2 linked regions of the Tribolium castaneum genome follow. The protein of the gene in region 1 interacts with the protein of each later gene in a biochemical or structural test. Links are inferred from orthologs where the notes say so. Each region holds a gene or a part of one and is shown on either strand. Other genes may lie near its edges.

The links.
Region 2: the proteins of Ubi-p63E (region 1) and Duba form a complex in vitro, tested with the Homo sapiens proteins (9 studies listed by BioGRID, with this or other methods). The link is inferred for Tribolium castaneum from reciprocal best matches to the Homo sapiens genes UBC and OTUD5.

Annotation. Positions count from the first base shown.
Region 1 is NC_087396.1:13,942,831-13,949,378, reverse strand, and holds Ubi-p63E (polyubiquitin), read right to left. Parts: upstream 5,073-6,548; 5' UTR 4,933-5,072; intron 4,819-4,932; coding exon 2,761-4,818; 3' UTR 2,671-2,760; downstream 1-2,670. Other genes in the region: 3'-5' ssDNA/RNA exonuclease TatD, read right to left, coding at 6,422-6,548.
Region 2 is NC_087403.1:2,184,478-2,192,505, reverse strand, and holds the start of Duba (OTU domain-containing protein 5-A), read right to left. Parts: upstream 5,466-8,028; 5' UTR 5,348-5,465; coding exon 5,279-5,347; intron 5,013-5,278; coding exon 4,924-5,012; intron 4,878-4,923; coding exon 4,385-4,877; intron 4,338-4,384; coding exon 4,181-4,337; intron 4,131-4,180; coding exon 3,916-4,130; intron 2,066-3,915; coding exon 1,804-2,065; intron 1,759-1,803; coding exon 1,501-1,758; intron 310-1,500; coding exon 182-309; 3' UTR 1-181. Other genes in the region: Cyfip (cytoplasmic FMR1-interacting protein), read right to left, coding at 5,706-5,903, 5,951-6,098, 6,144-6,382, 6,430-6,728, 6,775-6,966, 7,014-7,582, 7,629-7,945, 7,992-8,028. UniProt on the Homo sapiens protein: Deubiquitinating enzyme that functions as a negative regulator of the innate immune system. Has peptidase activity towards 'Lys-48'- and 'Lys-63'-linked polyubiquitin chains. Can also cleave 'Lys-11'-linked ubiquitin chains (in vitro).

The DNA.
Region 1 (6,548 bases):
GTTGGTTCACCAGGACTATCTATACATGGTGAGAACACCAAACAAAACGACAACGAATTTGCGAAGTCAGAAGCTGTCAAGAGTCCAGCGCATAGGCGAGAATTTACGCTGACGAGAATTTTTTAAGGATTGCCAACCCAAGGCTAATCTGAGTGGAGAGCATGTCAAGTTTATAAAAAAGGGGGACACGTAAACTTGGTGGTTTTAAACATATGAAAGCATGCTATTGCACAAATAAATGATTTATTTAAGTGATAGGTTGAACATTTTTTGGTTTAACAATATTTAAACAACCGGACTTCGCTACAAATATAAATCGGGCGCATTAACTGTTTTTAAATATTGCACATAGATGGCAGTTACAATTTTATAGAATACTGTAAACTTTTAGTTTACCTACGCTTAGATGACGCCATCAAAATTTTTTTTTTAAAGAGAATGGAAAATATCATTTGCTTCGTTTTCTTGTATGTAATTTTTTTGTGTAATTTTAAAAAATTAATAAAGATATAGTAAAAATTTTATAAAATCTGCGATTCACAAAATGCGAAATATCTTCGTTCCTGTAGAAGATAGAGGGGTGGTTCTGCCCTTTTGAAAACCCTACTGCCCCGTAGTATTTTTCCTGCGCTATCGAATGGGATATGTCCCGTTCCCGTATCTCCATCAGGAACCGAAATAGCATTGCACATTTTTTAATCGGGAATCGAAGTACATGACGTAATAGTGCTCCAAAAGTTACGTGTGCAAGCAAAATTTCAAGTTGCTACGGTAACAGGAAGTGTCCCAAATTTAACTCGTAAAATATGATTCAAAATAAATCGCATTAAATAAAGACTCTGAACAAAAAAGCTGAAGTTTTTTATTGGAGTTTTTATTTAACTTGCTTTGTTTGCAGTCTTTCGGAATTATAAATATTTTGAACTTAAATTTGAGACACTTCCTGTTGTCGTAGCAACTTGAAATTTTGCATGCACACGTAACTTTTGGAGCACTATTACGTCATGTACTTCGATTCCCGATTAAAAAATGTGCAATGCTATTTCGGTTCCTGATGGAGATACGGGAACGGGGCCTAGCCTATTCGATAGCCCAGGAAAAATACTACGGGGCAGTAGGGTTTTCAAAAGGGCAGAACCACCCCTCTATCTCCTACAGAAACGGAGATATTTCGCATTTTGTGAAATGCAAGATTTCCTTAAATTTCTATAAAAATTTTGAAAAGTGAAAGAAAATTTTAGGTTGTTTACAAAATTTTTATAAAAATTGAAGAAAATCTTGTAATTCACAAAATCTTAAATATCTCCGTTCCTGTAGGAGATAGAGGGGTGGTTCTGCCCTTTTGAAAACCCTACTGCCCCGTAGTATTTTTCCTGGGCTATCGAATGGGATATGTCCCGTTCCCGTATCTCCATCAGGAACTGAAATAGCATTGCACATTTTTTAATCGGGAATCGAAGTACATGACGTAATAGTGCTCCAAAAGTTACGTGTGCATGCAAAATTTCAAGTTGCTACGATAACAGGAAGTGTCTCAAATTTAAGTTCAAAATATTTATAATTCCGAAAGACTACAAACAAAGCAACTTGAATAAAAACTCCAATAAAAAACTTCAGCTTTTTTGTTCAAAGTCTTTATTTAATGTGATTTATTTTGAATCAAATTTTACAAGTCAATTTTGAGGCACTTCCTGTTATCGTAGCAACCTCAAATTTTGCATGCACACGTAACTTTTGCGGCACTATTACGTCATGTACTTCGATTCCCGATTTAAAAATGTGCAATGCTATTTCGGTTCCTGATGGAGATACGGGAACGAGACCCATTCCAGTCGATAGCCCAGGAAAAATACTACGGGGCGGTAGGGTTTTCAAAAGGGCAGAACCACCCCTTTATCTTGTACGGGAACGAAGATAATTCGCATTTTGTGAATCGCAGATTTTATAAAATTTTTACTATATTTTTATTAAACTTTTTAAATTACACAAAAAAATTAAAAACAAAAAATGTAGGCAGCGATAATTTTCATTATTAAAAAAAAAAGTTGATGGCGGCATCTAGGTGTTAAGTGCCAAAATTAATTTTATTAACTTATATTTATAGTAACCTGTAATATTATTATTGCTATCTATGCGCACTAGCGTAAAACAATGAATGCATTTGAAATGGATTTTTTGCCAAATACGGTCGAATCGAAAAAGTTTTTTGTGACATTGTCATTAACTTGTAGGTAGTTCCATTGAGTTTTGTGTGGGTGATTAAATGTTATCATTTTTTTTGTCTTTAAGTTTTTTATTTTTATGCCTAACGTCAAATTCGATCGGCTGCCAAGTCCGGTTTCTCCGAATATCAATGAAAGTGAAGTCTTTATTTTTAACACTGTATTTAGCTTAACGAATTACTCCAAAATATGTGCAGTCATATGAATAACTTATTTTTTTAAGAATTTGTTGCCTTGTTGGAAATATACCTCAAATCTTTTTTTAATTTCAATTTGTGTGTTGGCGATTTTTGGAGAATTCTCGTGAGCGTACATTCTCGCGGGCCTACAATCTCGTCTAAGCTCCAAATCCAAAGACAAACCAACCCCGTAAAGCCAAATGTTTTAAAATTTTGATAAGCATTTTTTTGAATTAATTCACATGGAGTACTAAAATAAAACACAAGAATTAAGCCATCAATCTTTATTCTCTATTCGTAATTTCAGGAAACTTGTAACAAAAAGTAAAAAAAATATTAAGCATAGAAATTCCAGAAAATTACTGTCCTCCGCGAAGACGTAAGACTAGATGAAGAGTGGATTCCTTTTGGATATTGTAGTCCGAAAGTGTGCGACCATCTTCCAACTGTTTTCCCGCAAAGATCAATCTTTGCTGGTCTGGGGGAATACCTTCCTTATCTTGAATTTTGGCCTTCACATTTTCAATCGTGTCCGATGGCTCAACTTCCAACGTAATTGTTTTCCCAGTCAACGTCTTCACGAAAATTTGCATACCTCCTCGCAGACGCAATACTAAATGTAGGGTTGATTCTTTTTGAATATTATAGTCCGACAGGGTGCGCCCATCTTCGAGTTGTTTGCCAGCAAAGATCAACCTCTGCTGATCTGGAGGAATGCCTTCTTTATCCTGGATTTTAGCTTTAACATTCTCAATTGTGTCTGAGGGTTCTACTTCCAAAGTGATCGTCTTTCCCGTCAAGGTCTTCACGAAAATTTGCATGCCACCTCGGAGACGCAACACCAAGTGGAGAGTGGATTCCTTCTGGATATTGTAATCGGAAAGAGTACGGCCGTCTTCTAGTTGTTTTCCAGCAAAGATCAATCTTTGTTGGTCTGGTGGGATACCCTCTTTGTCTTGAATCTTAGCCTTGACGTTCTCAATTGTATCAGAAGGTTCGACTTCCAGGGTGATGGTTTTGCCAGTCAGAGTTTTAACGAAAATTTGCATGCCACCTCGGAGCCGCAATACTAAGTGGAGTGTTGATTCTTTTTGAATGTTGTAGTCGGAGAGAGTTCGGCCATCTTCGAGCTGTTTGCCGGCGAAGATCAACCTCTGCTGATCTGGGGGAATCCCCTCTTTGTCCTGAATTTTCGCCTTAACGTTTTCGATAGTGTCCGATGGTTCTACTTCCAAAGTGATCGTCTTCCCAGTCAAAGTCTTTACGAAGATTTGCATGCCACCACGGAGACGCAACACCAAGTGGAGGGTCGACTCTTTCTGGATGTTGTAGTCGGAGAGTGTGCGACCATCCTCCAACTGTTTGCCGGCGAAAATCAATCTTTGCTGATCTGGGGGAATCCCCTCTTTGTCCTGAATTTTCGCCTTCACGTTTTCGATTGTGTCCGAAGGTTCGACTTCAAGAGTGATCGTTTTTCCAGTCAAAGTCTTCACGAAAATTTGCATGCCACCTCGGAGACGCAACACCAAGTGGAGGGTGGATTCTTTTTGGATATTGTAGTCGGAAAGAGTACGGCCGTCTTCAAGTTGTTTTCCAGCGAAGATCAATCTTTGTTGGTCTGGTGGGATACCTTCCTTGTCTTGGATCTTGGCCTTAACATTCTCAATGGTATCAGAAGGTTCGACCTCCAAGGTGATGGTCTTGCCAGTCAGGGTTTTGACGAAAATTTGCATGCCACCTCTCAAACGCAATACCAAGTGAAGGGTGGATTCCTTCTGGATGTTGTAATCTGAGAGGGTACGCCCATCTTCTAGTTGTTTCCCGGCAAAGATCAATCTTTGTTGGTCTGGTGGGATCCCTTCCTTATCCTGAATCTTAGCCTTGACGTTTTCAATCGTGTCGGAAGGTTCGACTTCCAAAGTAATGGTTTTCCCAGTCAAGGTCTTGACGAAGATCTGCATGCCTCCCCTCAGACGCAAAACCAAGTGAAGGGTGGATTCCTTCTGGATGTTGTAATCGGACAAGGTGCGTCCGTCTTCGAGTTGTTTACCAGCGAAAATCAAACGCTGTTGATCTGGAGGGATGCCCTCCTTGTCCTGGATCTTGGCTTTGACGTTCTCGATCGTATCAGAGGGCTCAACTTCCAGAGTGATGGTCTTGCCAGTGAGTGTCTTAACGAAGATTTGCATACCGCCCCTCAATCTCAAAACCAAGTGGAGCGTCGATTCCTTCTGGATGTTGTAGTCAGACAAAGTGCGTCCGTCTTCGAGTTGTTTGCCAGCGAAGATCAAACGTTGCTGGTCTGGGGGGATACCTTCCTTGTCCTGGATCTTAGCTTTGACGTTTTCGATGGTATCGGAGGGCTCGACCTCCAAGGTGATGGTTTTACCAGTCAAAGTCTTCACGAAGATCTGCATCTGCAACGACACAAAAAATTACTTTTGTGACAAAGCAAATTTCCAAGCCGCCATATTGGATTTCGTTGAACAAAGAATTACGCACTGAATAAACCGAAAAAACACATTACTCACTATGTGGTTTGGTTTTGAACAGATCGACAAATTTACAAAATTAATTTTGTTAAAATTTAAACAAAAAAACACGTCACTAGGGCGATGTTTTTTCAAACAAATGTTATTGCGTCATGCGAAAAATTTCACAAAATTGCGACTTTCTGCGCTTCTTGCAATCGAATAATTCATGATGAAATTAAAATACATACCTTTACGGCTAGGAAAATTCACAATTTTAATTAAATCGCTTTTGTATTTCACCACTTTTGCTCAGACAATATGGCGAATGCAGCTGTGGAACCGCTTTTATACGGACGGCTTCCCCCACTCCTTTTTAATCTCGAACCCAAAGTACACTTTCTAGAATTTTCGACTAATTATCCAAAAAACGTCCTCTTTAATCAAAAATTTATACATAAACTTTAGTTGCTATCAGTTTAATGCCAATTCGGTTAATCGTGGTCAAAACAATGTTTCAGGTATTAAGAAAATTGCTTTTAATTGAACAAGATTCTAGGGACTTTGGCCAGTAGTTGTTGGTGACATGTCAGCTGATTTTTATCTACGTCGTCAGCTTTATCGATCAGCTGTTTTCTTTGTTTTGGAATTACGCCCTTTTTTATTTTTCAAATTTTAATTTATTTTCCAATTTATGCTTTTCAAACGTTTCAAATAAACCACCCATTAATACCTGCATGAAATGCCAAATTCGTCTGTTCAATTTTGAAAGGAATTTATTTGTTTACAAAGAATTATCCTTATCGTTGTTGTTCTAGAGTCTTGTTTATCATGTAAATACGGACGACAATAATAAATTATGTAAAAGGGTCATTTGGGACAAAGAAAAGTACAGTAATTCATTACAACTTATTTATTCTTCATATTGTAATAGATAAGGCACATTTGTGTCTATAAAATGGAAACAAATATCACATAAAGAGGCAATTATTGTGGCAAACAAACCCCTAAAATATGAAAATTAATTACAAAAATAATGGGCCATTTTACACTACACAGCGTCCATAAAATTAAAACTACAAGAACATGCTACCGAAATTACAGCAACAACAAAAATATTGCATCAGATTGATTATACGCCATAATTTCATACTTCCTATATCAACAATTCAAAATTATGATACTTTAACAAAGCGTAATTCTATTACTTCAACATAAATCTTTCGTCCGCATTATAAAACTAAGCAGTCAACAAATACATTTCATGTTACCTAAAATATACAATTCGGCTTTAACAGTTGCTAAACGTAACGTAGTCCAACTACAAAAATACAGGATAAGACGTGATAAACTTTATAGTTCCAAAACGGTAATAACCGCTTTTGGTAAACATGTTGACATTGGTGATCACCTAAAATTATTTACACGATTCGTTGTATTCTTCGCCCTATTATAGCTAAATTCGTTTAATAAAGCTGCCCACATGATTTCGAAAATAGACAAAATATAATATGTTTGTATGTTCCCCTTAATTAGTACAACTTTCGGATCATTGAGACAATCCGAAAAGTTTCAAGGCATTAAAAGACGTAGCTAAGGCCACGTCCTCCGGTTTCTTATTCATAAAAGCCGCAATCATCTCGACGATCGCTGGCAAAGAGCAGGGTTCGTTCCTT
Region 2 (8,028 bases), on another chromosome or scaffold:
GGTGGAGGAAGGTCGTTTTAACTAAAAAACGATTATAACATGCCAATACAATTTTACAAGATATGCATTTTATATAACAAAACAAAGCAATTGCATACCTTGAAAAGCAAACAATGAACCTTAATTAACTAAAAATGAAACGAAAGCACGAACATGTAACTCAATTAATTTAGTATTTAAACTAGGATGAAGTGGATGGTCCCGGAGATCCATGACGCTTCTTGGATCGCTGCTTAAGTTCAGCTAAGTAAGTTTTGCGCGACTCGGCCAGCACTTGGGCCATGATTTCCTGGTCATAATTGTCGTAATCTGTAAAAGTCACACACATTTTAAAATTAAATATTTCCGTGCATTTCCGCCAGATGTTTTCGGCTTGATGACAAAAGTTGACATTTTAGCGAAATTTTATTTTAATAAATCTAAATCGATTCGCCGGGCAAAAAAAATACGAGAATAAAACATTCATAACCATGCTTAAATAGGAAAAAAGAGTAAATGAGATAAATAAAATGTAAATGAAACAAAAAAAATGAGAATGAAAAAAGGGAAGTAAATAATAGTAAAAAGAATAATGCATTTTTTATTGATATTTAATATGCTGTTTGGTTGTATAATGTATAATACTTAAGATTGCTTGTTTTTTTTCGTACAACAGAATGTAACGGTAAATATTTTTTTCAATTACGTGTGGCTCTGGAAAAATAAATAAAAAGGAGATTTTTAATGTGTGTTTTCTTTAAATTGTCTTAAATTGTGACTGTCAAATATGTGGCATCATTGTCTAACAGCCGGTATCGGAAGTGTGAAACATAAAAACATTAAAAAAGAGTCAACAAAGTAAATTTGTATGCCCATATTTTTTATAATATAAATGTAGGAATTTTTTAAGATTTTTCCTGTAATCTACATTTGCTTCTCAAGAACGTGGTGCGCCAGTTTTTAAGTGCTCTGTATATTTTTTAAATTTAATCACTCACAATATGCAAAAAGTACAAAATAATATTCCATGTTTTTTTAAAAGCTTCCCCAAAGAATATATCTTAAATTGTCAGATACTTTAAATTACAATAACGTAATTAAATTGTAGTATGTTATAGCGAGTGACACATGAAGAAAAATTGTAAATGATAATGTTACTAAGTGAAAAAATATAATAACAAGTATAATAAAATAATAAAAGTTCAAAAGTTCAAAAAAATAAAAGTCAAAGTCATTAGTTTTAAAAGCTGCATCCAAAAATGCAAAAAATATAGGTGGTCCATTTAGCTGTACCTACAGCTTTTACAAGCTCTAATCTCTTCAGGAACCACGATTTTTGCCCAATTACATGTGGGCTTAGAATTTTTCTAAGCTAACCCTACCGTAATAACTCGATTATCCTGCGATGAAGCAGCGCATTTGGCCGGAGGGCTAGCTGAAAAAATCGCTAAAATATCAATTTTTGTCCGAAAAATGCACTTAATCGACGTCCATTTTGTTTGAAGCAAAAATCAGACAAACCTATATCACCGCGGTTTGATGGCCCGGCCCCAGCCGACTGATCCGAATCGGAATCAAAATCAAATTTAAAGTCCTCGTTGAAATTTTCATCATAGTCCGGGTTATTAACATCCTCGGCCGGGGGCTCAGAACGGCGCGGCGAAAATTTCGGAAATTCCTCCGGTGGTCCACCGCAGGCTCCCGCCACATCGCCCCCGCTGACGTCGGCCTCATAGCGGCTAGTCGATGGGGACGGCGCCCCAGCGCCTCGGGGGCTCGCTGCAAGGAAATGTTAAAAAACGCCATCGACTCACACTTGAGTACCTAGTGGTGTTGTCTTTGGCGAGTTGGACCCTTTGGGGGACTGCGATCCCTTCGGGGAGACCGAGCCTTTCCTCGACGAGCGCGAGCTGGACATGGTTGCTGATGTTATCGTTGAACTGCTACCACAGGAGTGTCCTTGGTTCTTCAAACGGCGTTCTGAGTCGCGAAAATATTGGATGTAGGACTCGCGAGCTACCTGTTCTTCGATGGCTTCGTTGGTGGCTTCAAAGTCGGTTGCTTTCAACTTGTCTTCTAGCATAGTCTAGAAAGATTCTGATTAGTCAAGACAACTGTCAATCAGGGCGCCAATTTCGGGTCTCACGGATGCACGTAACTAGATCCACGACAGACGAAAAAAAATATAATAACCTTTGTAATACAAAGCTAACACTTAGTAATTCAAAACAACACTATCTGTACGCATATATCACGTCGGAAAAAATTAATCTTCTAATATTTCCGAGTATTGTATTATACACCAACAGCCAATCAGAGAACAGAAACGTCCCGGACGATTATACCGCCATCTCGCGTCCACATACTTGTTGAAATCCCGCCACCAAAACTTGTAAATTTGTTAATTTATATGTGAAAATGTGTGCCTGGGTGTTTTTTTATGTTTGTTTTTATATTTTGCTAGTGAACATTGCGTGGTTTTTGAGTTTTCAACGTTGGCACCCCCTACTAGACAATGTAGTGATAGCAGTGCGGTACACAACTTAATTTGAATATTACATCGAAACTGTTGCAATAATTCACTTTGTGTGGGTTTAACAGTGCAAAGTGCAACCCCGTCCCAATTCACCGAAAAAATGGTATGTATAACCTCACATTCATTACGCCTAGTACGCTTAGTAATTTGACTTAAAAATGGCACTTACAAGGGATTGTGACTTGTCCCTGTGTGGATTTGAACGCACAGATAAGTTTAAGCGGTGAAAAAAACGCCTTTGTCATTTCTTACGTGTCGCTTCGATAAATGTAGATCGAAACACAGTGTAATAAAAGCGGTGCTGTACAGTGTGTCTCAAAATGTACCCCCATGGCTACAGATACGTTACACTCTCACCGGTTCTGAAGTGTTATTTCTGTCAATTTTATGACATCGCTTGTGGTTAGTGAAATGTTTATTAGGATTTATTAGTAATTTAATTTATTAGTAATACTGGCGTAAAAGCAAAAAAAAGTCTGAGCGAAGTGTGTACACGAATTCGCCTTAACTCGAATTTTACTTTTTTAAATTCGGATAACGAGGTTTCACTGTAGAATTTTTGTAATAAGAATTCGATTCCTCAAAATACATAAAAAAACGTCCAAAGCGAGCTAGTAGCTTCATTTTACATTGTAATAATACTGTAATGAGCGCGAGTCTAGGTTTTATGTGGGTTTTGTTGTACTTTTATTTATTTTGAAGAAAGTGATAGGCGTAATTGTTAAAATTTTGAGAATAATTCGTGAAAGCCCCTATAATTTTTACCGAAGTGTTTTCGATTACATCTACGCTACTGCCTTGTGACAGTGGCTGTGCTCCGCCCCTGAGGCTTCGTTATCTAACCGTTTTGCAGCCTTGAACAAAGGTGGGGCCTGCTACCTGGAGTGCGCACAGCAAGCAAAACCGTAACTTATCTCATGCGCAACATGAGGTTTCCCAGTGGCGTAACAATAACAAGTGAGTGTATATTTATTGATAAAAACAAGAAAATCACAAAAATACGACGACTGCGATTTCCCATCGTGATAAATTGAAATAAAATTTTATTTTACTATTTTTACGTTCCATATTTTAAATTTCACTGTTAAAAACCATTGTACTTGGTAGTTTGTACCGCGACAAAGCGGTTCCGACCGAGCTCCATCAGCACGTTTCTACAAGAAAAAAATTGATTAGTAACGAATAAGACAAAAATTCTACCAAAGAATTCTACAAAACTCGGCGCAAAAAATATTTTTTTCACGAATGGGCAAAAAACCCCGAACGTAATCAATTTAAATAATACATTTTTAATCAGCGGGAGCGAAGAAAGGGACATGTTTTGGTACGCCACTGTGTGGTTAGTATGTTATAAAAATTCAGTGACTTTTTTATGAATGGGAATTATTTGATTGGTTTACCTGTTCAATTAGCAACTCATCACTAGCCCGCAGAGCGTCATTGAACCTTCTTCTGTCAATATCAACGGTATGGTAATTGGGTAAACCTAAGCCTACCCCTACTGAAGGTTTATTTGGGTTACTAATAGAATTATAATGACACATCCTGTGGTATGATAATCTAATAGGCTCATATGAGTTAATTAATCTTGAACCATTGAATATATTGATTGGTGCTGGAAACGGCGTATTAGTAAAAATCAGGCGGAAGAAAGGCAAAAATTACTTATTTGGTAGCAATAAACTTCGATTGTCCTATTATATAACTCGCTCATTGCTTGTATTTCTAAATGGTTGCCATGTACGTTCCATATACGTTTCCGTGCAACGTATTTATCAAAATCCTCCGTCACGTAAGGTTCAAAGTAGTCACGGTTTTGAACCTTCCAGAAACAAATTAGAAAAAATCCCCACTTTGCGTACAACTTACGATGTAGTTCATGCAGTCCTGCCTGACTTGATAATGGAATTCTTGGTCGCCGTACACTTGGTCTGCTATCGACCGGAAGAGACAGGCCCCATCTTCGTTCATTTGCTTGATTTCGAACCCAAGGTTGGACATGCCGCGGGAAAATAACACGTCCCTTTTTTGCCACTCTTCATCCGGTATGTTCCGCTCTTTGAGGAGTCCCTGGTCATCGTACTCATCCTCGCTGTTGAAGCCCGTGTAGTCTTCCTTGTTCGCAGTCCCAGGTTCGTTGTTGTTGCAAGTGGGCTCAACAGCGACTGAGTCAACAACCGAATTACTCGCATTATTGTCATGTAGAGGCTCATTTGAGATATCGCGTTTAGCAACTCGTTCCCGTTTTTGTTCCCTCCGAACTTCCCGTTTTTGTTCGCGCTCGCGTTCCCTATCTCGCGCCCGATCTGGCTCTTTATATCGCTTCCTCAAACGCTCTTTCCGCTCAGTTGTTGACTTGACGCTGGAAGCAAGAATGAATTTTTCCGCGATTGAGGGTGGAAACTTACTAGGGGAACTGAGATCGGCGGCTTGAAGGGCTTGCCTCATTCAGAGAACTTATATCGTCTCTCCTACGCACCGCTCGCTCGGAATTCCCCTAAAAAAAGTCGGGCCTTAATTATTCGAACAAAGGAAGCCGACCTAGACAGCTCTTGAGCTAGTATTGGAAAGCAATCATTACCTACCTATTTTACATTATTACATTATTAAACCTATCTAATTACGCAATCGTGTACAAAATTTCAAGATCAAGCAAAGATTTCGCTAGTCCAACACGCTGACAATAAAGATAACACGATTTATGATTATGAAGTTTCTCCTTAAAAAAAGATCAAAAATGACAAGTTTAACATATCTACTCACATTTTGCTGACTATTGTCGCTTTTCTCCTCCGGATTCGCCGAAGGTCTTTTGGCTGGTAAAATTGTCATTGTCTAATTTTTCAAAATACAGAAAATACTACAAAATTATTGAATTATTTTCTATAGTTTGACAAATCTCTCAACTACTGTCAACACACGACGAACAGCTGCTATCAACAGTCACCAGCGGGACTAAGTCCCCGGTTGGCAGCCCTGAATTTGAAACAACGCGCGAAATAAAACACACTCAAGCAGGCATCGAAAATTTTATTATGAAAAATTAAAGCAATACCAATAAGGCCGATAATAAATGAGGGTGGGCGATACATTTGTAATGAGATTTACACATGTAGTAGGACTATAATAAATATAAAAGATTATAAAATGTTGAAAGCTGATTCCAACAAATGTATAAAATAAACGTGCTTCAACACTGGCGTAGATGTTCGGGTGCGTGGTAGTGCTGTTGCGGATTCATTGGGTAGACCGGTGGCGGGAAACAACGTACATGTTCAACCGACAACTCGTCGTTCTCACTCGACTTCAAAAACTTGTTCAAAATCGCAAAGATCTGCGAATTGAGCACTTGGAAGCGCCTGATCCTGTCCACCATTCTCTTCAAGCTCTGGGAAAGACAATTATAGACCGAAAACAACCGTACAACCAACATACAATGCCTTTCACAATTTCATCCTTCATGTCAACTCTTTGTACTCTCAGAATGTGGTAACAGAAATCGAGGGCCTCAAACCGCCTTTGCTGGTCCAGAAGCACGATCATTGTACACCCCGCCCAATGCAAACCTTCGCCAAACATTTCCCTGAAACACGGAATAAATAAAACGAAACATAAAGTCGGTACCCACTCGACAGTATATTCGTTCTCGCTAACTGGAATACAATAGACGAATTGTAAAGCCGACCACAAGCGATGGAACTCGGTGCATTCGTCAACGTTCATGACACCGTTAGCAGGCGGCGGTCCGACCCAAACCGAATCGTCCAGGAAGGTCCTTAATCGGTTCAAAACAACTTCAAAAATCGAGAGACCGCAGCACAGCCGCTCACGGGTCAATAAATCGCCCTCCTTCGATATCAAAGATTGCTACAAATTGGCGAAATAACAAACAGTTGTTTGCACATTTATCCAACCTTTGCAGTTCCTAACTTCTCTATATTTGGTACAATCTGCAAGGCGGCATATTTGGCTTCAAGCCGTTTCTGCTTCGTTTCGGGCTTCTCCCCTTCCTTGCAAAACGGCCGTGGGAGGATATTCTGAAACGGTGCCGCTTGCAACAAATCACAGACTTCCTCCTGTGACAAGGCCTGTTCCATCAGTAAACAAAACAGGATAATGTTCCCAAATTCTCGGAAATTGTGGAACAACTCGGTCCTGGCATCGGGGTATTGGACAATGTCGTTCAATTGGGCGTGGTAGTAACTTAACACACCTAAAATTCGTCTTATTAATTCCGCCCAAATCAAGCAAATCATTACCCGGTGAGCCGTAATCGTAACGTGGCAATTTGCACTGCTTTGGCATGACCTCCATTAGAGTTTTGGTGAATTGGAGGAGGTTCCCTTGGATCAGACTTTTGACAATTTTGAGGAGCTCCTCCATCACAACTGCAATGCCTTGATAACCCAAGAGTTTGCACATTGTGTGGAAATGCTGAGGCCCGACGAACCCTAAACCGTACTAGTTAAACAAAATTAGGACCATAAGCTAGATTTACCGGAATATTGGCCATACTGAGTCGTGTAGGCAAGGTTCAGTTGCTTGCTCCCCCACATGTAATGATGCGACATTTGCGGCGGCTTATCTCTGTGGACAGCCCCCGCGAAAGCAATCTGCCCCCGATACTTAGTAAATCTGTTCGTCGCGGCATTGTAGACGTAATTAGGCAAGAAATCGTAGTTCAGCTCCCAAAACACATGCAAGGTGATGCGGCCATAGGGCGCCAAAACGTTGTGATTAGCCTCACGATACATTGAATCGAAATCGTCAAGTGCGAGCCACTTGCTCAGCAATTTATGACACAACCGATTCACTTGTAGGAGGCCTTCCAGTTCCATAACCCCGGTTATGTCACCGCCTTCGAACTTACTTATTGCCAAATCGAGACTTTTCTGCATGTCGGTGTTGATCCTCTGAGTGATCAACTTATTCAAATCGATCGACCGCCCTAATAACTGGACGTGCCGCTGTTTTAGCAAGGTTTCGTAACGATTTGCTCGCGGGTAGGGGAGCAGGTAAGCCCCCAAGGCGGCACACTCCACTCTGAAGCGCTTATCAAGAAAGATACTGAAAGGATTGATTGTGAAAGCGTTCCCATGATTTTTATCAATACCTTGCCGCCAGTTGTTTATAGTACGCGAAAATTTGCTCGCTCAGTTTATAAACAAACTGATCAAAACATAAATTAACTTCAGCCTCGACCTCATCGTATAAAAATTGCTTTCGGAATATTGTCAGTGCGTAAAGCGCGCTATCATTGTATAAATCAAGCGGGTACAAGACGTACTCCATCATCGAGGGTTCCTTAGTTTTCAAAATATGATCAGTCAAAATCCAAGGCATGGACATGTCGATTGGGAATTGTATGCGTTTTTCCATCGTGATCAAATCGTTACATTCTTCGTTATGAGCGTGACGCACGGTGCATTTCTATGAAAAGTTTGGCAAATTTTTGGCAAAATTACGCGTTACTCACGTTTATTCTCCGTCCCATGGTCATCTCGAGGTAGAAC